Linked DNA regions of Alligator mississippiensis. The protein of the gene in region 4 interacts with the protein of the main gene of each other region in a biochemical or structural test. Links are inferred from orthologs where the notes say so. Each region holds a gene or a part of one and is shown on either strand. Other genes may lie near its edges. The genes, in order: CBX3, PCNA, CBX1 and TRIM28.

Region 1 (7,670 bases), about 81 Mb from region 4:
CCTTGGCCAATCAGGGGCTTCAGGGAGCCCACTCCGCAGAGACCATGTAAATGGCAGTCAGCACCATGAAATCACCTGTCCTGCCACCTACATTTTGGAAAGTCCCTACTTATGGAATGTACCTGAAGGGCTAATCCAGCACTAATAAAATGGTGCAAGTTCTCCCCTACCTATTCTCTCCAACCCTAAAAAAAATTAAAAAAATAAAAAAGAACTAGTCTAAAGAGAGACTTGCCAATTTTGTCTATAAATGTGTTTGTAACCTGCTTTAAAATGATTATCACTTCAACTTATTTTCCAATAAACTATTCAGACTAATAAAAGCTTTTTGATGCTGCCTAGGCAGGATTTCAACTAGTGTGAGACATGGAAGAAGGACCACTGAAAGCAATGCCAAAACAGCTTTTGATAATGACTTCAAACCAAGACTATAATTTCAGATTGCAGAAATTGCACTGTTCATTTTTCTAAGTTACAGCCTTACCCTGTACTTCTTTAGAACTGTCTGCAGAGCCTGAGTTGTGTAGTACTCAGACTTTTTGAAAAAACTGAATCATGTATTGCAAACATGGGCCCCAATAAACCCCTAGAAAACTATTTAGAAAAAATGAATACTGCATCTGCCAACAGTGTAATAACAGCATCACATACATCTTCTACTATGCTTTTTAATCAAGATTCAAACAGTTTAATAGAACATCAGCATCATTTTCTGCATTTGAAAAGTTGGAAAATTAGCCCAAGAAGCCAAGTGCATTAACCACTGGGAAAAAAAAGCCTAAAGGCCTAATTCTAACAGTCAACTAGAATACCTGCACTATTACAACATAAAATAATTGCAAACACGTAGATTTTAATGAATTTTTCACCAACCACCCTTTCACATTACAAAACTTTAAATGGAACTGAAGAAAGGAAGAGGACAATTTAAAGCAAGTACTAATAAAACTTAGATCAAATCACTATCATTTGGCATGCCAACAGACTAATTCTATAGGTATTTTATGTTACTGTAACAAAAAAACAAAAAAACAAAACCAGAGCAATTTCAACTCTGTAACCAATACCTACTAGAAAAAGTTAGGCATTAAGTCACTTAAAAAAGTGAAATGAATAAAATTACACTACTGGTTCTCAAACAAGCCTGTGGATCATTGGTGGTGCAGGACACTTGGTAAGGTTTGCTTGTAGGCTACAACTTCCTTACAAGACAACTACAAATAAATTTACTTTCTCCAATATAAGCAATTGCCATATGGGAATAATACAACTAGGAAAGGAGGGTTGGAGCATGTAGCCCCACATGGCCTAAGGCAGTGCCCCCCAACCTTTTTGCCCCACAGCACATTTACCTGAATAAAAAAAGCACAAACAGCACACTGGATGGGGACAGGGGAAGCTGTGTGCAGCCAGCCGGATGGCATTTTGGGCTGGAGCCATGCTCCCCGTGTCCACAGCATCAGTGGGCAGGGGGTGTGGCTCCACACCCATGTGCCACGGTTGGGAAATGCTGATCTAAGGGAGTGATTTTCAACCACAGTACGTGGCCTCGTGGCATGCCTTGACATCCTTTCAAGGGTACTATACAATGTTAGCACTGTTAGGTTTCCAAACATAAGTCACAAGATACACCCAGAGATTTCAAATAGAAATCCATAGTTGTGGTGTCTCCAAATTCTTTACAACAAATAAAACTGCTCTATTTTTCAGTAACCAAAAAAGTAGTGAATATTACTACTTTTAAAAATAGAGCTGACATTTTTTGAGGCGTTCCATGAGTCTGTCCAAGAGCGCTTTTGGTTTACCTTGGGGTATCTTGAATCTAAAAAGGATGAGAACCACTAGTCTAAGAAATGTGAGGAGCAAGAGTTTTGGTGATGTCTTTTACTGGACCAACTATATAATGGGGGGAGGGAGGAGAGAGAAGGGGAATGTAAGACAAGCTTTCAGGCAGCCATTGGGATTACCAAGGGAAAAGACTACTATAATTAATCTCCATATTAAATGATGGTTCACATTACTGTTTAATATATCATTGCATGCATGCGTGCGTATACACATGCATTTAAGTGAAGTCTCAGGCAAGCAGTCGGCCTCGTGTAGGATATGAACTCTGATGACAACGTACAATTAGAGGGAGATAGGTAGGCAAGTCATTCTGAAGTCAAGCAGAAACGCAGGGTAGACTAACCAAATCAGAAATGCACATGCTCACATCACTTCATGAGGTAAGCTCAGGCTCATGGAAGTTTGTGCATCTCTAATTTAGTTAGCCTACAAATGATCTTTGTTACTCAGCCTTATGCTTAAGTGTGTTACTTCTTGTTCCTCTGAGGATTTACCTTTACTGGACAGCCACCAAATATGTTGCATGCATTGGGATGTTTAACACATTCATTACAATGTTTTTGCCTTAGCAAAGACAGAGCCTTAGGACTAAGACTATTTCCCCTGAGTTTTAGGGAGTGTGAATGTTAGCTTACAAGTCAGAATTAAACCAACCCACTATACTGAAAACTGCAGTTTTACACTTGGCAAAGCAAAATGTCTGCACCTCACTTTTACCTGCTTGCTGATGAAATCTGGATGGGGGGGGGGGAGAGGAAGGAAACTGTTTCAAAATGCCAAAAGAAAAGCCGGTTGAGCATCTGTATCCTGTGCAAGGGAAGAGCTTATCAAGTTACTGGGAGCCTCCTTGTTCTGCCCTAGTACACTAAGATAAAACAAATTCGTCTCAACTGCTGCAAGAGCAAAGCCACCAAAAAATGGCGGCTAGAAATTTGAGGGGCGGGGGAGAAGATTCCGCATCCCGGCGCTGAACGCCCGCCAAAACGGCGCGCGGTCGGGAGCTGCGGCGCAGAGGCCGCTCCGAGCAATGCGCGGCTGCGCGGGCAGAGCCGGCGCCTCCTGCCCCTGCGCCGGAGCGCGCTGCCTCCAGGGCCCGAGCACATCGCGCTCCAGGTGGCAGCCATGTGGCAGCGCCGGGAGCCGGGGCCGCTCGGCTGCGGAGAAGGAAAATGGCGCCCACAAGCCGCCGCCTGCCGGGGAAGCGATGCGGCAGGAGAAAAGCCTCCCTCGAGAAGCCGCGCGCCGCCCTCCGGGGCCCGGCTGCACCCGCAGCCGGCTGAGGAAACCGCAGCCCCCCTCCCCCCCAACGCCGCCTCTCACCAGCTTGGCCGCGGCGCTGCCCTGGCTCACGGCCCGCCTCCCCATCCTGGCGCGGAGCCGCTAGCCCTCCTCACACACGAGCCTATCTGCGCGCCGCCATTTTCTCCCTCCGCCTCGTTACCGCCATTAAAAGCCGGGGCACCGCGGCCGGCAGTCGCCAGGGGCACGCGGGCCCTCCCCCCGCTGTCGTTCGGTTCAACGGTCCCGGCAATCGACCCGCCCCTCCCCCGCCTCCCTCCCCCCGCGCCAGCCCCAACCGCCTTCGGCGCTTCCAGAACTTTCCTCCTCTAACTGTCGCTCAGGCCCGGGCCGGCTCTAGCGACCCACGGGGGGGGGGGGGAAGGAGGGGATGTGGGGGTGCCGCGACCCCTTCCCCCCGGCCGAGCCCCGCGCGCCGCCAGGCACGTACCATATTCTTCATGGTGCGGGCGGCCCCGGGTGCGAGCGCACGCGACAGGCCCAGTAATGGCTGCCTCAGCCGTTACGCAATTTGAAATTCGGGTTCGCGGTCAACCTGTTTTCACCTCACGCCAGCCTGCCCTGCCCTGCCCTGCCCAAAGCGCGCGGCTCCCGAGAGGGGGGAAGAGACTGGGCCGTGGCACCGAGCTCCCCTTTGTGTTTTACTGTCCGCAGAAAAGGAAGGAAAAAAAAACATCGGCTCCGGGAGCAATGGCCGCCTCCGGAATGAGCCGAAGCGTCCGTCGTCGTCGAGCTCTTCTGCTTCGGCGCCTGACGGAAAAAGTCGAAACGGCGGCGGCCGCTGGGCCGAGGAAGTTCGGCTCTTTCCGGAAGGAGCGAGTCCGGGACCCGGCAAGCTCACGCTCCGCTTCGGCCATTTCCGGAAAGGGAATCGTGAGGCGCCGCGTGGCCGACCGGAGCCGAAGCGCCTCGGCTCAGCTCGGCGGAGGCTGCTCCCTCTTCCAGCTTTCTGGGAAGGGCCGAAGCCGCTCGGGGACAAACCCTCGCGGCCCACTCCTCGGTTCCCGGGCCCGGCCCTTCCCAGTCCGCCCGCCTCAGGGCGAACCACTAAGAGCGGATTTCTTCCCTCAGTGCTCCCGCCCTGCGCCATTCTCCTAGCCCGGTTCCTTCGCCCTGTGCTGCCCGGCCCAGCCCCGCTCCCTCCCGGCCGTGGCTGCGGGAGCCGCCGCCGCCATGTTGCGTCCCCGCTGGCGACTCACCCAGTCGCTCTCCCGGTCCCCGCGAGGCATCTTCTTCCGCCTGGGCGCGCGGCGAGGTTGGGTCCCCGGCGCTGCGCTAGGCTCCCGTGGGAGAGACGTCTTGGCCCGCTGCTACGCTGGCGACCGCGCGGCACTTGGGGGGAGGGGAAGGCGGCAGCTCCGGCGCGCGCGGCGGCGGCGGCAGCAGCAGCGATATCCTGCGCTGTGGCCCCGTCGCCGGCGCAGCAGCAGCGGCGGTGGCAACTCCCCTCACGCAGGCACGCAGCGCCCCGCCCCGCTCCGCTCGTGGCCCCGCCCCGCTCGCGCCCGGCCTCCCGCCTGCTCGCCCTCCCGCCCTCCCTCCTGCCGCGGATGCCGCTGCGCTCAGTGCGCGCAGGGAGCGAGGAGGCGACGGGGACGCCGCGGAGCCGCCGTGAAGTCTGTATCCTTCTCCCTTCCTCTCGTTCTCGTCCCCCGCTCCGCCGCTCTCGGCGCCGCTGCAGCCCCCACGGGGCGCGGGCAGGAGCGGCCGAGGAGGGGCCCCGGCGGGGGAGCCGCAGGGCACGGGGCGGCCGTGTGCGGCAGACAAAGCGCGCTGGCCGGCGCCGGGGCCCGCGCTGCGGCCGGGGAGGGGATGGGGGACGTGGCGATGCCCGCGGGCCCGGAGGAGGCCGCCGCCGGGGAGCTTCGGCCTTGCGTGAGGCCGCCCCGGGGCGCCCGCTCGCCCGGGACCCACCCAGCGCAGGCCCGTGGCGCAGCCCCGCCCCCCCCCTCCCGGGCCTCGGCAACGGGCCTTTGTTCCCCCTCCCCTCCTCTGCTTGGGCGGGCCGGGCCGGGCTGTGCCGCGCGGGGCCAGGGCCCGGGATCCTCGCGCTGCCTGGGCTCCCGGGGCGGCGGGGCTGAGTCGAAGGGGATTTTCTGGCCTTCTCTGGAGCTTTATCCATCGCCTTTTTCAGTGAAATCGGGGCCGTTTTAGAATTTCGGGGTGGGGGGGGTCCCTGAAGAAGTGGCCAGGCTGAGGCCCAACATGGAGGACGAGGGGGGAGGGGAGGTGGGGGATGGCCTGGGTGCAGTCAAACAATACATTTATCTTTAGGCTTAAATATTTCACTCCTCCATAGGCCCTGTCAGCATCCCAGTCCTAATGCTTGCAAACTTCAAGATCAGGTGGCAGCCTTGGGGTTGGATGTGTCTTGACTGTTATATAGAAGGATCCCGGGGGACTCTGGCTACTTGTTTCACTATTGCAGAACTGCTGCCAGCAAAAAATCTCTCTTTTGCAACTTGCAAATGCTTGCAGTTATGTCTTCTGGTTAACTGCTCCAATCTGAGTTCTTATGATTCTGGGTTCAAGCATATAAGGCATCCTGGTGGTCCTCAGCTTCCTCTGAAACATCCCTGTGCCTCAGAACGTCCTGTAAAAAGGACATTTTTTAACCACGGGTGCAAGTGCAGGTTTTATGTCACTAGTTTCACCATGTGGTCTTGGGTTACACCAGACAAAGTAACAACCTAGTTTTGTTCTGGATGAATCCACACTTGAATGTCATATACAGTGAACACATGGGGGTTGGAAAAAGGACCATGCTTGTATTGAGATGCCTTTCTCTGAGTAATGTAAACTTCCTTTTAATTGTCATGCATTTTTCTAGTAAAAGCTCTGCAAGTCTGCAATAAAAATGGCCTCCAATAAAACTACATTGGTAAGTTCATGCACACCTAAAATATTTAAGGATTTAACCAACATATTTTTTTTTCAAAATTATAACTTGGCATCTCTATGTAAAAGATACATCCACATCTCCCCTCCCCAGCATTATTCTGACTAAAATCTCAGATCCAGAAAGTAAGGCTATGAGAAAGGACATTGACTTTGGCTTTAAAAATCTGCCATCTAATGAGATGCATTCAATTTTTTTTAAAGGAGGGCTCTACTCCATTTCAGCTGTCCAGTTGTCAACTAGAATAATAGTTAACCATTACCAGAAAACACTGAATTTTTTTAGCCTCCTTTCATCACACCATATCATCCATTGCACATAAAAATAGCACTTAATGTTTCACTAGGAGTTTAGAACAAACTGCTGAAATCAAGCAATTTCTGAAATTAAATACCAATACAGAAAGGTAAGGTGATGGGGTATAGCTAGGGTTGCCACTGAAATTGTTTAATTGAACAACAAATTTGCGTTTCATAACTGTAGAGGTTACCAAATGTCTACTTCACCTGGACAGTTTTCATGGTGGAATCGTTTGTCAAATGATGGACCACAAACTTGGAATTTAGGGCAGGCGGATGTCTCAGTAGTTCTGATGTCCACTCAACAAATGACAGGACATGTTTGCAAAGGACAGAAGTGCATAAGCCTAGTGTTAAATATACCCAATAAGGGAAAAAAAATGGACAAACAAATCTGTGTGCTTTGGAAAAGGAACAATTTTGTCTGTTGTGGGAAAAAAATGCCATTAAGCTTGTTACTGTGCAGTTGACTATATTTTAGGTAAACTTTTAAATGTTTGCATTATCTTTTAAGTGCTGTGGTTTACTTACTCTAAGGAGTATTGCAACCAGATTCCAGTCAATAATGCTTACAAATACTTAATCAAGCTAAAGTTCTACATTTTCAAGTAGATACCAGTTCCCCAAGTCCCTAACTTCAATAATGTGGTGGTAGATCTAAACACTCATAGGAGGGGAAAGAGACCCTTTTTTCCTGACACTTGTATATAGCTAACCTCCCTATTACAATATTACCTCAATGTTATAATCTTTCACTTTTATAAAATGAAAAGGTGAGTGATTATATACTGAAGAAGGTACGTGTCTCTTCTGTGAATTTTGAATATGAAAAAGTGCAAGTTCGCTTTATTTGAATATGCTCAGGTTTTGGTGTAAAATGATGGGACCTAGAAGAAGAGGTCAGATAGTTCTAGAGACATTTCTTCCTGTTGATTTCAAATGTTGCGTGTTTTTGTAGGTTGAGATGTGGATTACAGCATGCAACCACAGAACATGCAGAAATTTGAACTGAATAAGCAATTTTTCTGTGGGCCATATGGTATAAAATGCACATTACAGAATTTAAAGAAGGTCAAGAAGAAAAGTTTGAAGATCTGCTGATGTACCTGTGAGACGTACATAAATCTGTTACGTCCGATAAAGATTTCCAAATACTTACCTTTCTCATGCACTTGCTTCAAGTGTTTTGTTTTAGAAGTCTAGGAGATTTGATTCTTAAATTATAAGAGCAAGAAGAAGAATCATTTTCAGAGAATGGTGGGATGGGGAGATTTAGCCCAAAGAAGAACTTCTCTCAAGAAATTATATGCACTTGTATGTCATAT
Region 2 (7,922 bases), on a different chromosome or scaffold from region 4:
AAACCAAAGAAACCAGCTTTTTGCAGTTACCCAAAGGGTGTGATTGCTCTGTGAGCCCTACCAGATGCCAGATTTCACTAGTGATAAAAACCACTTGAGCATCAGTACAGATAAGTAGGCAGGGGGATTGAGTGGCAGTGGATCAGCATGTCAGACCAGCAGCAAGAGTGGCTACCACTGGAATATCCAATTTCCAAAAATCCATAAATCATCAGATACCCCCAGCATTCTCACCTTCATGGCTCAGAACTAGAATAAACATCATTTCTGTGGTATACTTATGTTGAATCATCAGAGCCTCTTGAGACAACCACAGCCATCATCTAGAGACTTAAGCCTGTTGTGATTGAGGCAGACAGGGTGCTTTGGGTAAATGTGATATCTTTTATCAGACCAACTAAATAGTTGGAAAAATTGTTCTTTGCAAGCTTTTGGGCACAAACACTCTTCTTCAGGCACAGGGAGAGGACACTCTATGAGGCTTCCGAGTTACCCAAACATTTAAGACGACCTTGTTGGTCAGTTTTTTTCCTTCCTTAACCACACAGCAAGTCTCAGCTCCTCCGCTCTCCTTCTCTGTACAGCTGGAGAATGGGTGCAAGTCAGACATGGAGGGAGCTCTGGGTTCTGCTATACATAACAAAATAAATCACATCTCTTGGCTTTTACACTATAGTACCAGACTTGATATAACTTGAAGCTCTCAAAGCCCTTTGTGTGCAGTAGATAAACACCACAAAATCTCTAAAGTAGGTGAGTGTCATAGCCTATATCCAGATAGAAACCAGGCACAAGGAACTTAAGTTTGGCAATCAGACTTGCTCTGTGGCCTTTTGTCTAACTATATCTACAGCACAGCTGGAACTAGAATGCAAGCATCCTTACCACTAAGTCCATTCATAACACGCTAGAAGCCGTGCCCATTCTTAATTTAACAAGAAAACCCCTGGGATCCTGACTCCCAGGTCTCTCTATCCTTTGTTTTATATTTAAGCTTATTCCTTTTAGCAATCAGGGTCAGTAAGTTAGTGGCTGGTAAGTAAAAGGGCTGCACATCTCAGTGGAAAGCTCTATCTGCATAACTGGTATACCCAACTTCCATGCAGCACACATGCTAAATATCCCGTTTTCATTTGCTTCAGCAGTTCCCCTCATGATTAGGTGGGTCACTTTCCACCAAAAGTGTAGAATATTTGTGACAAGCTGCAAGTTGATGATGCAACACTGAGACACAAAGCCCAGAAGATTCTGCCTCTTGATGCCACGGATCCCTCTTTCCCCCCTTCCTACGGCTACTAGCCGAGTGAACTACCGGCCCTTGAAAAAACTCCGGGCCCCATGCCCAACAAAGAGCTGGTAGCAGTGGAGGATCCAAAACTAAACCAAACCCTTCCTGTGCCAAAGCTGAGCTCAGTGTAAACAGTACAATTTCAGTTTTAGAAACAACACTGTTTGAAACCCCACAGTAAGTGCATCCTTAATAGTCTCTCTTTATGCCCTTATTCGTTTTCAAAACTGGAGGTGAAAACACGATGTTTGCAACTCAGGAGCATGACTTCAATTTTATTTTTTTTTTTAAGGTTTCTCAAATAGAGAAGACATTGAATTTTACAGAGTAAAACAATAACTCTATAAAATAGGAAATGAGAATCTTGAACTATTCTATAACAGCAGGAAACTAAATACCTGGTTGCTCATGTAATGCTATCTATTTAGCTAATTTCAAGTGAATTATTTGCTAGAAAAAGACAGCTAGGATCACTCAAATCCTATTTATTCCAAGGGTAGCAGTCACAATTCAAGCTTCCCTAATCAAATGTTAAATTGTGATCTGAAGGGAAGAGTAAAATAATGCTGACCTTTTACAGTCAGAACTTCTTTTGCAAGCTACCTTAAGGGGAGGTTTTCATTTCAGTAACATTCATGTGGTTTCGCATTTACACAATCCCATGAGCACTGTAAAGGGCAACAGCACAGCTAGTGCACTACCTTAGCAAAAGAAGCACCACAAAATGAAACACACCTTCCTGTTTCCATTGTCAAAGATGAGCTAAATGAAAACTAAGGCAGAAAAGCCAGATTAAGAATTTTCCAGTTTTAGTTTTAAAACTAACAGAACAATTTATTTTAAAAAAATGAAACCAAGTGCATTCTTTTTGGTTTCTCTTTACAAATTCAGTGTCCTTTTGAAAGCAGCCTCCCCTGCTGTGAAATATAACAGGCATACTGTACTAGAATTAATATTATTGGCTATGCTATGGCTGGGAGACAAAGTAAGTAAAGGAAGACTCACAAGGATGTCTGAACAGGGGACATCCCTGATAAAATTCAAGAAGACCTCCTGCTAGTGGCTTAAGGTATCAGCACAGGTTTCACTGAATTGCTGTCTTGTATATTGATGGTATGCCCACAGTATGCTACAGACACTTTGCAGACACCAGAAGACAACACAATGCTAGCCTCCAAGAGTTCCTAATCCTAGACCCCGACCCTGTGCGGTTTTAAGGAATACATTATTATTAGGAGAGATACTGGCCAACTCAGCAGTTCAGACAGTTACATTCCACTCCAACTTCAGCCTTCAGGATGTTCTTTGCTGCCTATTCTATACCATGTTCTGTTGAATACAAAATTCAGTCAGTGGCAGCAGGTCAGCGATGGAATATGAAGGAGAGGGGTTTGCTTCAACATTTTGTTTGAGGGCAGTGGGGCTGATGTAATTCTTGGCCCTGTGCATTGTGTTTGTTCAAATTATTTTAGGATATTCAGTTAACCCCAACTTGTATGGAGAGCATTTTGGATGCATTACTTAAATGCTAACTAAAGGAATCCTGTTGTATGTAAAAATGCATCGGATGAGATCAGGGGTTTGGGTCTGATGAGATCAGACTTTAAGAAACAGCCCTTTGGCCTTCTGTGTCCCACATAGCTAAGACAACTCTGCTTGCTGAGAGTATGCATACCAGTTGAGCAATACCAATGCTCCCAAGGAAGCATTCCAACTCCCACAAAAGTACCAGGATACAACAGGGCTATTGGTTGTAGCTGTACTGGTCTAAGGACATAGGCAGACAAGGTTCTTTAGGTAAATGCAATATCTTTTATTAGACTATAGTTGGAAAAATTGTTCTTTGCAAGCTTTCAGGTACAAACATCCTTCTTCAGGCACAGGAAGAGTTAAGTCACCTTGCTACAGTGCAAAAATGCAGTGCAAACAGTCAATTATCAAGAGGGTGATAGTTTCCATCCACTCTTGTTTAATATAGAAAAGCAAAGCTAAACCAAGTCGGTAAATTTAAACACCGTAAAGCTTTACAAGTTACCAGGCAGTCAGGCATTTTACATCTTCATCAAAAGTTAAGCTTCCAGCAATCCCATTTTCTAGAGTCATTTCTTCCAGCTCTATAATTGTATAGCAACCAAGAAAGTAATTAGACCCAAGGATGATGCTTTATTTTACAGTTTGCGCTAGCTGCTAAAAAAGGATGTCTTAAGTAATTTTAAATGCAAAGATTTCGGCTGAGAAAAAAAACAAAAGAATTTCAAGTGATCACTTGATGTTTACTTGACACAGAAAGCTTTTCACCTTTTCAAGGTTACGTGGTTGAAGCACTCCACTGCTGTCTTGGAATTAGAACCAGAACTTTGTTCTAACATAAATGCAAGCCAAATGGTAGCTGACAAGGCCAAGGTAAGAGCATGAAACAGCCAAGAGTAATTACAATTTCCCCCTCAGCTTGATTCCTGAGGCCCATAGGGTTGTGAATGGCAAAGAACCCCAAAGACTTTTTCAAAATAGGACTTTTACCTTGAAAGTCCATGCTTTTAGTTGCTCACATCTTCCAAGGGGCACCCTTTAAGAGGGTGAGAGTGCAAATGACTTAGTGAAGGACAGCCAACCTTTTAGCTCTATTTCTCCAAGCATCTGGATTGGGCTTTGGCAGAAGCACGTACAGTAATAGCGTACAGTGAAAGAACAGCTCTCTCACCCCATCTTAACAATGGTTTAGGCCTCAAGTCCCATGAGACTCCAGAAGCACCAGGCTGGGCCAATCCCATGGCAACTCAGTACCCGCTCTTAGACGTGGCGTCTTGCAGCCAAAGAGAGTGGAAATGCCTTGCTAAACAGTTAGTGTTTTACTTCACAGGAATTAATGAGTTGAGGAGAGATGAATTTGGCTACAGCCTGGTTCCCTAAAACATCTTCATCTTGGTCTTGGAAATTAAGGGTGTGATGCTACCAGCATTTATGCATACAGAAGTCAACATGCAAGCTCTCCCTAGCCAGCTGGCCCCTAGGGTGCAGCTGACAACCCATTTGGCACATTACTAGTGGTGCCCTGGCAGTGGATCCCTCTGGGCTCTGGGAGCTACGCCCGGGGAGCAAACGCTTACATGGCCCAGCTCAGGCAGGGATGCACTGAGGCTGTGCCTCCCACGCCCCAGCCACCCGAGCTGTACCGACATACAAACCCAGATGAACTGCACTGCACTGCACTGCACTGCACTGCACTGCACTGCACTGCACCGCTGCCCCGCCCCGCTGCAACCCCCGCGCTCCGCAAGGTCGGGCCGAGCAGCCCTCACTACACCTGCGGGCAGGCGGGAGGCGCCAGGCCCCGCCCCGGTACCTTGTCGTCGGGCTCCCGGCCCAGGCGCTGCCGCAGCTCGCTCATGCTGAGCCCCGCTGCGAACCTCAGCAGCAGCGCGTGCGCCCAGGCCCCAGCGTTCCATCCGCCTGGCGCCGCCGCAGCCAATGGGAGCAGCGCGAGCCGGGAAGGAGGCGAGGCCACTCGCCTCGCCCCGCCCTGCCCCTCCTGACCCGGATGTAGGAACTCTTCTCTTCCTCCTCCTCCTCCCCGGCCTGTGGTGGCTGCCATGATAGGCGTACGCCGATGGCGGTTGTACATGAGCCATCCCCCAGACGCCGTGAAGCTCCCTGTAGCAGCCCCTGGGCACGGCACTCTTGCTTTGGGAGCATCCCAGAGGCAGGGCCGAGCAGCCGACCCTCGCAGCCTTGTGAAACAACGCGGGTTGTAAGGCCGGCCTCGATTGGTGGGAGGAAACGCGCTGCTTGTTACCTGCGTGGGGATTGGCGGTTGCAGAGCACGTGGGCGGGATTCTGTCCAGAATCCCAAGTAGGCGGAACTACCGGTGACTCCCAGGCTCTGATTGGCCGGAAGGAGGAGCTTTCATTTTTCGCGCACGATCCCGCTGGTGGGCACGGATCGGTAGATTGGCGGCAAGGAGGCGGGGCTTCAGGTTGCTGCGATTGGTGGAGAAGCCGGGGAGGCGGGACCCGGACGTGAGGTCAGAGGCGCTATAAAGAGAGCCGTTGGCGCGCCCCGAGAAGCAGCAGTCTAGTAGCTTTTTCTCGTCACCATGTTCGAGGCGCGGCTGGTGCAGGGTTCGGTGTTGAAGCGCGTGCTAGAGGCGCTTAAAGACCTCATCACTGAGGCCTGCTGGGACCTGGGCTCGGGCGGCATCAGCTTGCAGAGCATGGACTCCTCGCACGTCTCACTGGTGCAGCTCACGCTGCGCTCCGAGGGCTTCGACACCTACCGCTGCGACCGTAACATCGCTATGGGCGTCAACCTGACCAGGTGCCACGGGGGCGGTTGTGGGGGCTTGGAGCGCAACGCTTGTCCCGTTTGTGCCGCGCGCGTGCGCGGTGACGTCACGCCGGCGCCCCGCGCTCAGGGTTTTCCCGCGCGCAGTGGCGGGAAAGAACCCCTGCGGGGGGAGGAGTTTCGGCAGCTCTGCCTGGTGGGAAGGGGAAGGGTGGATGTGGCCCCTGCAGTGCATTGCTCCTCTGGCCTGGAAACGGCTTGCAGGGCTTGGGGGGAGGAAGAGTGGATGTGGTGGGTCAGGATGCCTTGCCTGGGCTGGTCTAACTAGTCTAGCCCTTGCTGCAGCATGTCCAAAATTCTGAAGTGTGCTGGCAACGAAGACATCATCACGCTGCGAGCAGAAGACAATGCAGACACCCTGGCCCTGGTGTTCGAGGCCCCAAGTAAGTACCTGTACTTCACAGAAGTTTAGGACTGGAAGAGACCTCATGAGATCATTGGGTCCAGCCCCTGGACAAGAAACACTACTGGGTTCAAACAACCCCTGCAGGGTGTGCATCTAGTCTCCTTTACCCCTGTGTTCTCACAAGGTCCCTTCCAGCCCTAAACTTTTGTGAAGATCTCTAGGTTGTGTCTGCACCACCTCCGCTGGGAATCAGTTCCAGAGTCTGGTCACATGAGCAGCAAAGAAGTCAGATGAGTCCTCACAGGTATGGTGCCTCAAGCCATGTTGGAGCTGCAGGGGTCTGAGAATGAGGTGATAGGCAGGGATTTTGTAAGGTCATCTCTTGGGCCAACTGTACAGCTGGGATGCAGGAGGCCTGATAAATGTCTTGCTTCCAAAAGTTTGTCTAGCTCTTATCCTGTGCTGTTTATCTAATCAAAGAGATCACCCTATGAAATCCTTGCCTCAGCAAAGGTAGGAAACACTTAAAAGCTCACATGCGCATAAAAATAAACACCCCCTCAAAAAAAAAAAAAGTGTCAGTTTTTGAACTTGCAGCACTACTTGAAGACTAAAATGAGTGCCTCTTATTAAGTTAATAGGCAGATGAGGCTGGAAGTGAACACTTGAATCATTGAGTCACAACCAGGGTCCCGCAGTGTGTTGAAGTGCTGCCAGATATTTTGGAGGTATGCAGATATAATTAGATAATTGGAGGCTCAGGCTTGTCTCTGTCTGGCTGGTTCCTCTCCATCTTCACTGATTGGTTCTCCTGAAAGCAGCTGAGCACTGTAGTATACAGATGAGCCTTTGAAATTGTACAAAATAAAGTGGCATCCAAAGTCAAGGCCCTTCGCCATGATGGGGTGGTGTGAGAACCACTCATCTGGTTTATGCTAGTACCTAGTTCAAAAGCTTTGTGTGATGTGTATACTTTTTTTATTTATTTATTTATTTATTTATTTATTTATTTATTTATTTTTTTTAGCTGAGTACAGTAGATGACGATCATCTAAATGACCAGAAGCTTTTATGGATACTTGTGTAGTTGCACCAAGAAATGTCTTGTGTCCTGTGACTTGGGGTGGGGTGGCATGCTCATAGCTGTTTGATAGGGCACCCAAGGGGAAAACTAGGAGTCATGGGCACAAACTCCTGGAAGATTGATTCAGGCTCAACATTAGGAAAAACTTCAGTTGAGGTGTCCAGCCTGGAATAAGCTCCTTCCAGAGATGGTGCAATTGCCTACCCTGGAAATCTCCAAGAGGAGACTAGACAGTCACCTTGCTGGGGTCACCTGACCCTCGGTTATCTTTCCTGCTTGGTGCATGGGGCTGGACCTGATGATCTTCCAAGGTCCCTTCCAGCCTTACAATCTATGAATATCACTTTTTTTCTTTTCTGTGTAAAAGTTTAAGAGGATCTAACTGCAAAACACAGGTTTAACTTTGCTTCACCAAACACACAGATGTATTTTGATGTTTTTCTCCTAGATCAAGAAAAGGTCTCCGATTATGAGATGAAACTAATGGATTTGGATGTGGAACAGCTTGGCATCCCAGTAAGCCATTTTGTTTTGTCTGAGCTAAATTTAATTGCTAATACTCATAAGTGAGAGTAAAATGTTAATGTTGAAGGCTTCTAAAATTTTCTGTGTTCCCAGTTCCTCACCTCAGTGGGATAGTTTTAAGATGGCCCATGGGAAGCATTAGGAATAGCCTAGAGTTTTTGAAGTGGTGATCACTGTGGATAGTGGTTGACTTGGCTCTTCAGTTCTCAAATGCATGATCAGGAGGACAGTGCGTTTTGTAACCTACCTTTTTAAGCACTTCCTTTTACAAAGAGAGGTGCACTAATTGACCCCTGTTGGCTATGCCCACTGAAGGTAAAGCTCACAAGTGATTATT
Region 3 (6,913 bases), on a different chromosome or scaffold from region 4:
GACCCTACCTACTATGAAACTATGTGGGGAGCGATGTGCTATGGGGCAAGATGGGGCTGGCCCTACATGTTGCAGCAGCACATATGGGGATGGGTGGGGCTGAGCCCACTTGCTGCTACCATGTACAGCTGGGGACCGTGGTGGGAGCGCAGGAGCTGTACGTTATGGGGCTAGGCTGGCCCTGCATGCTGCCACCATGTGTGGCCAGGGACTTGCACAGGAGCATTATTGGGCTGGGTGGGGCTGGCTCCGCACACTGCCGACATGTGCAGCCAGCGACTTGGGTGGGAGTTGCGTGTTATGGGGCCAGGCAGGTGGCTTGCCACCACCTGCAGCTTAAGGGACTCTCACACTCCAAGGATGCTCCCCCACACCTCCTTCCCCCAACATGCCCCCACACCCTCCGCCACCACATACCCTGCACCCACACCTACCCACTATATCTACACCTCCCACACCCAATATACAAGAGTAAGGCTGTATTTTGAACTATTATGGAATCACCTTGACCCAAGGGGACAATAAGAACCCCCAGGCGTGGGTCGTGGTGGAGACAACCCACTGCAACAATGGGAAAAAAAGGCCTGAGAAAAGGGCAAACTTGCCTCCCTCAGGCACAGCTGTACTGGATGAGCCACAGAGGGGTGCTTTTCTCTGCAGCTGAGGCCGGTGCGGCCCAATGATGTCATCCAGGAACACTGCCCGGCAGGGATACAAGTCGGCGGTGGGGATGCAGGAGGGAGGTAGTTGTGGGACTGCCCCCGCCCCCGCCCCCCCGCCACTGGAATGGAGGTCCTGGATGCACACAAGGAGGGGCCAGAGAGGGACCCAGCAAGAGGGTCCAAGGCCTGATTTAAAGGGCCACATCATCCTGGACAGCGAGGGAGTTGGCCCAGAGGAGGACACTGAGAAATGGCGATGCCGGCAAACATAGGACGCGTGAGCGGGGTGTGGCCAGAGACCCTTCCCTGGAATTGTGGTTCTTTAGTTACATTTCAGTTACCTTGAAGCCCTGGGGCCAGAGACAAGGCCAAAGGGCAGACACTGAGGGTTGAGCGGGCCAGGGCCATTTAGAAGATCTGAACGTGGATAGACTAGACCCATCATCGAGGCCATCACACTGCCCCAGGCAAACCTGTGTGGTGGGAAGAAAGACTGTTGCAAACACTGGGGACTGGAGAGGCAGAGAGGGAGTGGGATACCACATCAATTTGAAGCCAAATTGCCCATCATTCAGCAGTTCTGATGAGCTGGTGCATGGCTGGGGTGTAGGGGAGGTGGAGCCCCAGGAACGCCTGCTAGTGATGACGCCCAGTGCGTTCCCCATGACAGAAGGGAACCCTACTACTGAACATTAGGGTTGTGCAAAGCAGGCCCTACTAGATTCAGGTTCATCCCAAATGGGGGACCGTGATTTGATTCGTTGATTCAGATCACTGTCCCCGATTCGATTTGGCTGAATCCGAATCTGAAGATTTGATGCTGATTTGGAGAATCAGCGATTCGGCCACAGACACAGCTTTAAAGGTTTTTTCTACATACCTCGAGGTACCAGGTACAGCTTGTGAATGCTGTGATGCTGGGGTGGATGGAGCATCCCACAGGAGCATGGAGGGGCCCTTGTATTCAATCAACCGCAGGTGGACCCTGGATGCCCCCCCAGAACCAGGAGGCACTAGTTGCCGAGCTGCGGGGCGGGGGCGGACACCCAGTGTGCTTCCCAGTGGACCTGGAAGTGGACTGGATGTGCTTCTGGTCCACTTCCAGGTCTGCTGCCAAGCGCGCTGGGGAGTGCCCCGTGCTCCTTTGGAATACTCTATGCGCCCCAGCTTCTCAGCGTTTATGAGCCACCTGGTACCTTGAAGTATGTAGAAAAAACATTTAAAGCTGTGTACGTCCAAATTGCTGAATCTTTCCAAATCTCTCTGATTCGATTTGGAGGGTTCCAATTTGATTCAGAGAGATTAAAGTGTCTTCTGATTCAGCCCAATTTGGTGGCCGAATCTGAATGGAATCTCCGCCAAATCGAATCAGCAACTGAAGCTTCGCACAGCCTTACTGAACAAAACACCCAAAATGTGGCAGGAAAGTACTGGGGTGTCCCCTGAGAAGAACATGACCCCATGTCATGACAGCAGGAGCCGTTTGCGTGGCAGGCCCCTAGTGCGTGCTCCAGAGCCGCATCGGAGAGGCTCCACGAAGTCAGGTGGGCGCACACCTCTAGATACACTATGCAAACACACAAATCGGGACAAAATATTTTTTAATGAAAATTAAAATGTTATAACAGATGTTTGGGGGGGGGTTTTGGGTTGTTTTTTTTTAAGTATATGATTTTTTTTCCCCTCAGTTTCACAATAGCAACTCCCCTTCCCTCCCAAAAGGAGTACTTCTGGGGCAATGGGAGGGACTTCAGGTGGCAAAGGTCAGGGGTTAGGGGTGGGACTTCTGGTCCCAAGATGGCGATCAGGGGGTGGGGCATCTGTCAAGGGGCAGGGCTACATCTTGCCCATTAAGATGCTTTCCAGCTGAAATAATTGCCCACCCCTGTGATTATAGCATGTTGGTCTATGTCTATGGTATCATGGAACAATACAACCTAAAGGTATGGAGCTTTAAGGTGGAGTAGGAGCACGTTATCCTATGTAGCATCACCTGTGTGTCATTGCATGGTTCATCAGCCCCAACCATTTTAAAATTGAGTTAGGCTCCTAGGAGGTGTAAGATTTCAAGAAAATATAAGAACCACAGCAGTCTTTTTGCAGACCTTTTTCATAGGGTTCTCAAGCATAAGGCCGACCAACAACTTCTGTTCCCCTGTCTCATAACACGTTGAATGACGAGGTAGAAAATTCAAAGCAAGCGGCCAGGAAATGCTTTTCATGCTATGTGTTAGATGGCTGAACAAGTCACCTCAAGAAGGCTTGGGGTCACAAATATGCCCTGTGACATAAATAGCAACAGAGAAAATGAGAAGAGGGCATTACACCATATGTTTGAGGGCTTGTGTCAGTCTCTAAGCTCTAGCAAGGCACCTTTGAGACAATGGGGTGGGGTGAAACCCCCTCTCTTCTGCCATCCCTGCCTTCTTGCCCTACTGCCTACAGCTCCTTCTGAAGCAGCGTTTCTCAACCCGTGGGTTGCAGCCCAAAAGTGGGTTGCAAGAATACATGAAAGGGTCAGGCATGAACTTTAAAAATGGGTTCTCCTTTAAAGGTGAAAAACGGGAATCCCTGGCAGGCTGGCAAAGGTCCAGCCTGCAAGGGGCTGCTTATGCCCCCCTGCCCCACACACTGAGGGTCTGGGGGTGGGGGGCAGAGAGTCGGCGGTGAGGGGCACTGGGTCAGGACTGGCCATCGATGTTTACAAATGGGTCCTGGTACAAAAAAGGTTGAGAACCACTCTTGAGGACAGTGGCAGAGGCAGGACATGGGGCTGCACGGAGCTGGGGGCTTCTTCTCCAGTCTGTGGGGCTGTGTTCCCGCGCTTTGCTCTAACATTATAGTGACAAGCATCATCATTGCTTTGTTATTCTTACTGTCGTTATTTTCATTGATGCTGTTCTGCATTTCCAAAGCTCCCTAGGATACAACTACGCCCTCCTACTCCGCGCTGGCTCATTGAGAACTCCCCACCCCGCCTCAACCTGACTTCACTAAAGGCGGGACGCAAACAGCAACGCGGAGCCCGCCACGCATGAGCACCGCTACCGCAAAGCTCAGCAACTCCCCCCCACCCCGCGTCCACTTCGGCGCGCGCAGGCATGTCAGCCCCGCCCCTGCCTACAACTCCCAGCAGGCCGCTAGGTAGAAAGCGCGCGGGAGGCGGTGGGACTCGGCCTCCCAGCATGCCGCGTGAGCCAGGAGCGGAGATTGAGGGAAGGGGGGTTGGCGCGCATGCGCGGTGCGCTCGGCGGGCACTCGGGCTGGCGGGGCTCTTTTGTTTGGCGGAGGCGGATTGCTAGCGGCCGGGCCTGCGGTGCCGCGCGCACCGGAGCGTTACCCGCCCTGCCCAGCCCGGTCCGACCCTGTCCCGCCCCGCCGCGCCCTGCCCGCGCGCTGAGCCGTTTCCCCTCGGGTGCTGTTGGCGGGGCTGTGAAAGGTGAGCGCCGCGGGGGGGGGAGAGCACCGGAGGGGCGGGGCGCGGCCCCCGCGGGGGAAGGGGCGGGGCTGCACGCGGGGGCGTTGGCGATGCTGTAGGATGGGGGGGCAAGTACGAAGCGGTGCCTCCGGGGGGGTAGAGCTGCAGTGGGGGGGCTGCGTGCAATGGGGGCATGTGGGGAGCAGCCCCCCCGCCCTTGGGGAGCTGGGGCTTTCCCGGGGGAGGGGCGGGCTGGAGCTGCGCCGGGATAGGGGGGAGGGGGCAGCTGCCTGAGGGCAGGGCGGGCTGCGCGCCTGGGTGAGGTGGTGCTTGGGGGGGCGGGGCTGGAGGCTGGTGCTGCAGCAAAACCAACCTGGGGGGAGAGGGTAAGGGATGGCAGAGATGGGAGCTACTCCTGAGGGGGTGATGCTATCTGGGGGTCTTGCAGGTGGCAGAACTGTGCTGGAGGTGCCAAGCCGGCGTGTAGCCACCACTGTGGGATCCAGGGAGTCAGGATTCAGGTCGAGGGGCTGTTCTGCTCTTCCAGCTCCCAAGGAGGAAAAAACCCCACAAAAGCAGGGCTTATTCTTTTTGGACCAAAAGAGGAGGAAAAACAAAACAAAAAAAAAAGGGGAGGGGTGGGGAGTGCTTCTAAGCCTGAGCATCACCGTAGAACCATCTCTGGGACTGTTTGTGTTGCTGCCTTTCTGTGCAGCATGTTTCTGATGGGGTTGAACAGCCGCTGCTAGGTCTCCTACCCAAATCCAGCCTCCTGTTTGTGTTGGAGATGCAGGTAGTGAAACTGATGAGAAACGGAACTAGGCTGGTTTAATCTCGCTGTCTACTCAAGTGAAATGTAGGCATGGCAAGTGAAGGCAGCTTGGATGTGCTGGTAATACAGGGAAAAGAGCATTGGAGTGTAGTGGGGAGGAGAGGGGGCTGAAAAATAAACTGCTATTCAGACCTGCCCCGCTGAATACTAAAAACGACAGCGTTGAATGAAGAAAGTACCATTAAAACAGGGGGAATAAGAATATTTATGGGTGCGGAGATGTCTTCCACTCATGGAGGTGCTGGGTACTTGGGAAATACATACCACTTTAATCGCTGTTTCCCCTGTAGCGTCTCCAGATCCAAATTTATTTTAATTTAAAAAAGTAAAACACAAGTCTGTGCTTGGGCTCTGCCAGCATTTCCCTGATTAGCTGGAAGTATAGGAGTACCTCTGTGTGTGCCTGCTGCTCTTTCATGTAGAACCTAGAAAGCGTAACTTAAAGAGAACTCCTGTCTTTGAATTCCTTCTTGCTTTTCTCTGCAAAGAAGCAGTATTTCTACCTTTTTATGCACACTTTCCCAAGCTTCAGAGATTTGTTTCTCTCTCAAGTTGTGAGTGCAGTTGAAGATGATGAGGGGATGCATACTCAAATTCCCTTTGAAGCCAAGGTCGTCTTTCTTTCTACAGTTTCAGCTCAAAGGCTAGCAATTCTGGAAAGTTTGAGTAAAAGCCTTTCTGCAGTTTTTCAGGTTTTGGAGCCTGGAAATGTTAATACACTTCTTCCCAGTTCAAAAGAAACATGCCTGCTGCTTTTTCCTGGCAAGTGGTACATACATATGCCATGTTTTTAAAGTCCTGAAAGAGGAGTAGGACTTTAGCCAACATTAGGAAGGGCGGTAGGAAGTATTTCAAGTTAAAAGCATGAAAGTAGCACTTAAGTCGCAAACCTGTAAAATGTAGTGACTGCACTTGGACTGAATGTATTCATATTAAATAGGTCAGATAATCTTTTTGGGTCATCATATATTTCCTGCTTATGCTGACCTAATCTTCTCTCTTTAAACTGTTTACATTTAAACCAGTTTAAACTATGAAAGCTTCTACAAACAAGCCTTCCCCCTCTATTATTGCACTTTCTAAAAGGATTCTTGGGAGCATATCCCTCTTGCTAACAGCACTGCCATTTCCATCTGAAATGGTTGCTGATGGTCTTGTTTGCTTTACAACTCTCACAGTACCTGGGCACAGCCTTCAGAACATCTCACCCAACACTAAACACCTTTGAAAGGCAAGGAACAAAAATGTATGAGTCAATTGGACACTAAGTACCAGGCACTTGACAGACAGTGATTTCATGGTCCATTATGATGTACTCGATTCTCTGCACATTACAAATGATAATGACCCTTCTGAACAACCTTGTTCTTCTGTTACCAGGCTTTTACTGTATCTCTCTTGCCTGTTGGTTACCTGATCGTTTCTCTTATACCCTGGTTTTATTTACATAAGGTGTTTTGCACAAGCTTTTTTTCCATCTACTATGTAGCTTTGCTGTGTTCCCACAGTCCTGAAGAAGGATACTATCATATCTATAAGCTTGCCTCTCCCAACCATGCAGTTGGTCCACAAAAAGATACCATCCACAAGAATTTTCGCCTCTTGCCCAACACCCAGATTCTTTGTCTCTGAGTTACTGCAATAATGCATGTTCTGCAGTGTCGTTGATTCTGGCTTTTGCTCCTGCATCTGCTATTCTTGTCCCACGAAAGCAAGTTTTGTATACGTTTTTGTGCTGGGCCTCTTTCTTTGTGGCCTTTTATTGGGGTTTAAATTCTTTTCAAGCAGTTGAGGCATGTGTATTTTTGGTTTAATTGCTGACATGAAGGCCCTTCTCCCTCCAGTGTTTTATTTATCCTTTATAAAGAATTCCAACCTCACCCCAACTTTAAGGTCTTAAGGTGATGTCAGGTGAGAGTGGGAAATATCAGTAGAAATCTATTTTGATCTTTGTCAGAAAATTATTTTCAGTGCACTGAGCTCTTTTCCAGGCACAAAGCA
Region 4 (7,094 bases):
AAAATTAAAGCTTTAGTGATGCCGATCATGTCTGCCATCACATGTCTAACATCTCTCCCAACAATACAGTTGATCTAATAATAAATATTCTTCCAAAAACTCTTCCTTGTCACACATTTCCTGGACCATCATAGCTACAACACTCCACCCCAACTACTGACATTGAAATAAACATTCACCCACAACTCTACTGTCAAATACACCATCACCTGCTTACAATGCCCCGCTGCTGTCTGCAAAAGCCCATGGCAGAATATTTTAATCTCCCTGCTGACTTCAATCCATCATCCCTGCTGACTTCAGGATTGTTGCTCTCAGACAAAAAACAAACAAACAAACAAAATAAAAACCAGTATGAACTGGAAATTGCAGAACCAGGAAATCATCCACAAACTGTACTGTGTTAAGTATGGTTTAAACTGGGACTATGTTATCTCATTACCTGGATTAGCTTTTGTAACCCTTTTTCTTCTGTAGGTTTACTGCATCTTTGGTTTTCTCTCCTAGCATTGCCATCTTCTCCCTATCTCTCTAGCTTCCTTTGTCTTTTGTACACTAATTTCTCTCTCCTTCCACTCTGCTTTCTGCACATCCTTTCACAGCATCTGATTAAATGAACTTGGGTTCACAAAAGCTTCTGTTTGCTCATGCCTGCATAGATATAGATCTGATTTAGTTAATATAAAGGTTCATATCTACCTTGACTTCTGATTGAAATGCAAACCATTTCACTCCCTTGAGCGTTGGTAATTGGGAGCTCAGGTGGCACAGGTGCTAAGGTACAAAGTTGACAGTCCCGAGGTTGTAAGTGTGAGGCCATAGCAGAAGCACTCAGTGTGTGGCCCTGTCAGATTCTAAGGAATCTGTGAATTTTGGCAAATACCTGGTTGCACAAGGACATAAAAAAGGAAGAAAAGTACTGGTGATTCACTTGGCCTTCCAGGAGATGATGTTGTGAAGCAAGACCATCTCCTCCAGCATTAAGACAATGTTTTCAGTGAATGCTCTTATCTGGCATTCTGGATATGGAGGAGGACCATGTCAATGATAACCTGCAATAATGGGGAGATTGTTGGGACCATCAGGGTTCAGAGTCCAACCACAGCCCTCTCCTTCTGAGAGGCAGGCTCCAAATTACAGAAAGCCAGTGGCAGTTCAAGTGAAGAGCATCTTTGCCAAGTTGAACTTGGAGTCCCTAGTTGCTGAAAACAGCCTGTGTACTTGTGGGTGACAGATGGACATGGCTCTCCATGCAGGAGCCAGCAGCTGGTATGTCTACCATCTTAGAAGCCTGCGGCAAATGCAAAGGTGCTCCCAAGGTGTAATGCAAAAAAACTTTTTGGGAGTTCACAGCTTACCCTCACTTATCCCACAGCTGCTACCACAGGTTCTGGTGTTAAGCCCCAAGGACACAAGATGAGACTGCAGCTTAATGAGTAGCAAGGACGAGACTGCTGCAGCATTGGGCAATGACTGGGAGTAATAGAGTGATGGAGAAAATCTTAAAAGCATGACCCAGGGCACCTTGCAGACTCAGAAGTCAGGATGAATGACTCCTGCCATCCCTGTTTTCCTCTCTTTTAAAAAAAAAAAAGACTTCATAGGATCATGGGAAGGAACCTTACGAAGTCATCTAGTCCAAGTCCCTGCTCAAGGCAGGACAATCCCTGATTAAACCATCCCAACCAAGTGTCTGTCTAGCCTGCTTTTGAAAATTTCCAAGGATGGCAATTCCACAACCTATGTAGCCTGTTCCAGTGTTTGACCGCTCTCATAGTCTGAAAGTTCCTCCTGATCTTCAACTTAAATTTCTCTTGCTGAAGCTTGAGGCTATTGCTCCCAATCCTGTCCCCTGAAGCCACAGAGGAAAGTCCATTTCCATTCTCTCTAGAATCACCCTTCAGGTATTTGAAGAATGTTACCAACTCCCCTCTCAGTCTTCTTTTCTCCAGACTAAATAGTCCTAGTTCTTTTAGCCTTTCCTCATAAGTCTCGTCTCCCAGACCCATCATTTTTGTTGTTTTCTGCTGGATGTTTTCCAAACTCAGGGGCGACATATAGGAGGTGCATGGGGGTGCATGTGCACCCCCTGAGAGCACCGGTGCACCTCCTGTCAAGCCATGCTCCCTGTGTAGCTGGCAGGTAGGGTGGCAGGCAGGAGCACCAATACCCCCCTGTGAGTGCTGGGGGACCCCCCTGAGCCATCAGGATTGGCCACCGGGGGAGTACTCCCCTCCCCAGCCAGTGGGATCAGCCACCAGGGAACCCCCTGGTTGCTGACTGGTGTCAGGGGGGCACGTGCCCTGCCTGACTCAAGAGGCACCAGGCACCCATGTCCAAACTGTACATATCCTTGAAGCATGAGTTCAAAAACTGGACCCAGTACTCCAGGTGAGGCATCCCCAGTGCTGACTAGAGAAGAAGAATCACTTCCCTTGGTTTGCAAGTGATAGTTCTATTAATACAACCCAGTATAATGTTGACTTTTTTTTGCAGCAAGAGCACACTGTTGGCTCAAAATCAGCTTATGGTCTACCATAACTGCCAAGCCCTTCTCTGCAGTATGGCAAATCATTTCCCCATCTGTATTTGTACATGCAGTTATTCTGTCCCAAGTGCAGAACTTTGCACTTGTCCTTGCTGAATCTCACCTCATTGCTTGTGAACCATTTATTTCTCCAGCCTATCCATCCAGATCGTTCTAGATCCTAGGTGGCAATCCCAACCAACTTGGCATCATCCGCCAATTTGCTACATGCACATTGGATCCCATGCTTCAAATCATGAATGAAGATATTAAAGAACCCTGGGACCCAGGACAGCCCTCACTTGATACCTCCTCCCAACTAGACACTGAGCCACTGAGGACTACCCCGACAAGGATTATCCAACTGGTTCTGTATCCACCTTGCAGTACTTCCCTGCGGCCTGTACTTCCTTAGCTTGTTAATGAGAAAGTTGTGACTGTGAAGCCTGACTCATGGCAGGGTTGAGGCTGCCTCATCCTCTTCAAACATCCAAAAAGTAACGTCCAACCAAAGGCCCTCAGTCACTCTGTAGCAGGTACAGCTCAGACACGGCATCCCTGGGGGGGAATGAAACCCTGGGTGCTTTCAGCAAGGTCTCGAGGTTGGGCTGAGAAAGGAGGCGTCTCCCTGGCAGGGACAGCCAGCTTGGCTGGGCATGGGGGGGGGGGGCAGGGGTGAAGCCAGAATGACTGAGGGGAGCAAGGCAGTGTCATGTGCAGGAGCGGCCTACTGCAGCAGCAATTCCCGCAGCGCTCGGCAGGGCCGGCCTGGAAACTGGAGGGCTGCTCTGGGCCTGAGGGGAAGGGGTGGAACAGACCCCGCCTTAGGTGAATCTAGTCCGCCAAAATTCTAAGCGGCTTCAATTTAAGCAGCTTTAATCAAAGTGGCAGAATTTAGTGGGGTCAGACCAGCAGGACAGGACAGGGCAAGCCTGTGGCTAGGCTTCCTGGAGTGACTCCTGATTCCCATCCTAGGTCAGCCACCGAGGCCGCACGTGGGGCGGGGAGGGGGAGCTCAACACTTCCAACGAGGTGGGGCGGGAGCAGAAGGTCCATCAGAAACGATCATTGGCCCTCTGCCCTGTCAGTCACCGCGGCCCTCCCAGGCCGACAGGCACCGCCCCCTGTAAATCCCACAGCTTCGGTGGGTGATTGGGCGCCAGCCCCGCCAGGCCCTTTCCACGCGGCAGCAGCTCACTGAACGCTCGAAAACTCTTCCCGCGGGGTGGGGGGTCCCTCCTAAATCATTCTCAGGCAGGAGGGGAGAAGACGCAGGATTGGTCCAGCAAGTTGTCATTCTTTACAGCCCCGCCCTCGCCCGCTGATGCCGTTCAGTGATTGGCCTGTTCCCATTCAATCACTGCCTACGCTACAGCCCGCCCGCTCAGGTACGTACAGGAGACCAATGGCCGCCTCCCCTCCCCCTTTCCCACTCCCAGCCGGGCCTTGGAGCCCCGCCTCTCCGCCGCCTTTTTGAGAGGTGATTGGGTGGGTTTGCCGCGGCCGCTAGGCGGGCATTGTGACGCGCCGAGAGGGGGCGGGGCTAGGGCCGCGCCGCGCTGGGGGTTGCGCGCGCCGATCCCCTTGTCTGAGGCGTTTTGTTTTGTGTGCGGCGGCGGCCGGAGCCGGAGCAACGGCGCGCGGCCTTGCAGGGGCCGACGGGCGCGCAGCGGCTGCACAGGCCCGGAGCGCGGCGGCGGTGCAACGATGTCGGGCCCAGCGGCCGCGGCCGAGGCGGGTGGCCCCGGCGGGGAGAAGCGTGCGGAGGCGCTAGACCTGGTGGAGCAGTGCGGCGTGTGCCACGAGCGGCTGCGCGGCGAGCGCGAGCCCCGCCTGCTGCCCTGCCTGCACTCCGTGTGCCGCGCCTGTCTGGGCCCCGAGCCCGAGCCGCCCGCCTCCGCCGGCGCCGCCAACAAAGAGGAGCGAGGTGAGCGGCGGGGGGGCCGGGGCGGCCGCGGGGGCGGGCGGCGCGGCGCGGCCCGAGGGGGGAGGGGGCCCGAGGGTGATGGCGCGGGGCCGGGGGGAGGGGCGCCACGCGGTGCGGTGGGGCGGGCCGGAGTGCGCCCCTCCCTGCGCGGTGTAGGGGGAGGGGGCGGGTCTCCCGGGCTACCCCCAACGGCCCCTCGCCTTCCCGAGCCGGGCGCCTTCCCCGCTGCGCCGCGGGCTCTGGGCTGGCGGGGCCGGCGCCTCCTGCGGCCCAGCTCCATTGGCGGCCGGCCGTGGGGGAGGGGGGATCCCTCCCGATCCCCGGCTGTGCGGGGTCAGCCCCGACGCCCAGCTCCGCCTCCGCTGCCTCCATCCTTCTTCCTGCGGGCCGGGAGTGCAGGGGCAGGGCTGGCAGCTTCAGCGCCTGCTGGGGAGCAGCCCCACAGGCTTGTGGGCCGGAGCCAAGGGGTGGGGCCTGGCCTGGCCTGCTGCAGGCAGCCAGCCAAAGGCCTCCGGGCCGTGGGCCTTCTGTCTGCTGGAAAGGGGACGCTGCTCAGCAGGAGTGCTAGAGACTTCCTGCCTCCCCCTAGAGATACTGGCTGGAGAGTGTTGTCCACTTGCACCCTTCTAGACACCAGCTGGTAATGGTCCAAGTAACCTTCACTTGTGACAAGGCTTCAGCTGCAGTACCAGCATACACGTTTCCTCAGTTGCTTATTTTTTTTAAAAAAGAAGAAAGCCTCCTTGTTGCTGCTTTTATTCCAGCTAAAGTTTCTAGTGTGGGACTCTGATTTTGCAACTAAACTGTGCAAGGCATTCTTGAAGGATGCTGATTTACCTAGAGGTGAGCTAGGGGTGTTCAGGGCACCTGTACTAAAGAAACCAAGTCCTCCAAAGGAGCGTGTGAGGCAGCTTTGTTGAAGACTGTAAAAACATGGAGCAGTGCAATATAAATAATGTGTAACAGGAACATGTGCGGTAAAATTACTTGTGAACTTCATAGAAAGAGAGGATTCGTGCTGCAGTCTGAACAGTCTGTAACAGGTGGCTCAAGCCTGTTAGAGATGATCTTAACCAAGGTTGAGTGACTTGGTTCTGAGGATGTGAGGGTCTCTGTTACACTCACTGATAGGAACCTCGGTATGAACAGTTGTCCAGTGCTGGAGGTATCCCATCTTTGGACACATGGCATTTTATTACCTCATTTTATTAACTCATCTGTAGTATAAAACAGTATTAAAAATGCAGCAAACTAAAATACCTAGTTTAGTCTCCTTGTTGGCTACCTAGCTGACTAGCACCTTCTGGTTAAGAGCTGAAAAATCCCCTCTTCCTAGCATTCTTTTACCTACAACAATTTCCTTTGGTTTTGGGTTGTTTTTTTTTTATTGCCTTTAAGTTATGCCAACTTATTCTGTTAAAATATGTTGCAGCTTCCAGGGATGCTTTTCCTAGTCTTGCTGCTGCAGGCTTGTTACAGATTGAAAACCAGTAGTCTTCATTCATGTCATTTGGCTGGTCAACCCAAATGATAAATACCCAGGTTCAGAAATCCAAAGTTCTCCTGAAAACATGCAGTTCTATACATTATTTTCTAAACCATTCAGTTGCATATTAACACAGTGTATACACAGCTAGATATTCTTTTTTCACTTTATATCATGTGTTATCATTTCAGTTAATTTTCCCCACTCCTTAGGCATTTTTATCAAATTCCAAGTTTCTCAGGAAGTTGCACCATAATTGAGGAGACACTGAAAGGGTATTTAGGATTCATTCTTAATCACTTAAGACTTTTGACCCCTCCCAGGATGTGTTCACTGCCTTATTGTTACATTCTGGTCTGACCATTAAGTGTCCCTGAGGGGCTTTACTCCCATCCAGAGAGAACCAACAAAGTATCCTATGGCCTAGAAAATGGTCTACAAGGAGAAGCCTTCTTAGAGTCAGTGTTTCATTTAAGTGGGTGTGAAGCCTATACTTTATAGCTGTTCCTTAAGGAAATGTGCCTTGGGCCTGGCTTTTGTATAGGCTTTGTACTGAGTGTTTTGGTTAGGGGGTGTGATTCTTAACCTATTACCAAAAACACGGTACCATTTGGTTTTTCCAGAGACAAGACTACATACCTGTAGCCTGTAATAATAATGACCTCTTTGCAAGCTTAGAGGCAGAACTAAGGGACAGTTATAATTGCTTTAATGTTTTTTATTTATTTTTATTTTTTTTACACCAAATCAAGATACACTTGCATTTCCCAACGATTCTCCACTTCCTCTTAACAGGTAAGGTATCAGCTTTAAGGTGGATAAAGAGGTAAACCAGGTCTATAGAAGCCAACCTTTTATTGATTACAGCCCAAGCACAGGAGTAAGCATTTGTCTGCCTAGCTATCTGCAACAGCATAATACAGATTCTTGCCTGTACAGCTGGTATAGGAGGGAGGAAGAAGGTAGCATACAGACTGGCTACCAGGTTGTTTTGAATTTGCTTCGGTTTTCCCAAAATCTTTTGTTTACTGCACCTAATATTTGTACATGGTTTATTTTAATAAATGTTCTTTGATTGGTGGTGTGTCAATTTCTTTGTTTTACCAAGATTTGGCAACTGGACTGAGCCAGTTGTTATCTTTATGGACTTGGAA

Evidence for each region.
Region 1: the proteins of TRIM28 (region 4) and CBX3 form a complex in vitro, tested with the Homo sapiens proteins (2 studies listed by BioGRID). The link is inferred for Alligator mississippiensis from reciprocal best matches to the Homo sapiens genes TRIM28 and CBX3.
Region 2: the proteins of TRIM28 (region 4) and PCNA form a complex in vitro, tested with the Homo sapiens proteins (2 studies listed by BioGRID, with this or other methods). The link is inferred for Alligator mississippiensis from reciprocal best matches to the Homo sapiens genes TRIM28 and PCNA.
Region 3: the proteins of TRIM28 (region 4) and CBX1 form a complex in vitro, tested with the Homo sapiens proteins (3 studies listed by BioGRID). The link is inferred for Alligator mississippiensis from reciprocal best matches to the Homo sapiens genes TRIM28 and CBX1.

Annotation. Positions count from the first base shown.
Region 1 is NC_081828.1:156,758,049-156,765,718, reverse strand, and holds the start of CBX3 (chromobox protein homolog 3), read left to right. Parts: upstream 1-4,667; 5' UTR 4,668-4,697; coding exon 4,698-4,763; intron 4,764-5,977; exon of another isoform or gene 5,978-6,004; coding exon of another isoform or gene 6,005-6,028; intron 6,029-7,670. Other genes in the region: HNRNPA2B1 (heterogeneous nuclear ribonucleoproteins A2/B1), read right to left, coding at 3,169-3,213.
Region 2 is NC_081830.1:25,946,600-25,954,521, reverse strand, and holds the start of PCNA (proliferating cell nuclear antigen), read left to right. Parts: upstream 1-4,906; 5' UTR 4,907-5,382; coding exon 5,383-5,603; intron 5,604-5,915; coding exon 5,916-6,013; intron 6,014-7,508; coding exon 7,509-7,576; intron 7,577-7,922. Other genes in the region: CDS2 (phosphatidate cytidylyltransferase 2), read right to left, coding at 4,593-4,676. UniProt on the Homo sapiens protein: Auxiliary protein of DNA polymerase delta and epsilon, is involved in the control of eukaryotic DNA replication by increasing the polymerase's processibility during elongation of the leading strand.
Region 3 is NC_081827.1:167,748,317-167,755,229, reverse strand, and holds the start of CBX1 (chromobox protein homolog 1), read left to right. Parts: upstream 1-3,903; 5' UTR 3,904-4,101; intron 4,102-6,913. UniProt on the Homo sapiens protein: Component of heterochromatin. Recognizes and binds histone H3 tails methylated at 'Lys-9', leading to epigenetic repression. Interaction with lamin B receptor (LBR) can contribute to the association of the heterochromatin with the inner nuclear membrane.
Region 4 is NC_081828.1:75,675,054-75,682,147, reverse strand, and holds the start of TRIM28 (transcription intermediary factor 1-beta), read left to right. Parts: upstream 1-4,093; 5' UTR 4,094-4,234; coding exon 4,235-4,454; intron 4,455-7,094. UniProt on the Homo sapiens protein: Nuclear corepressor for KRAB domain-containing zinc finger proteins (KRAB-ZFPs).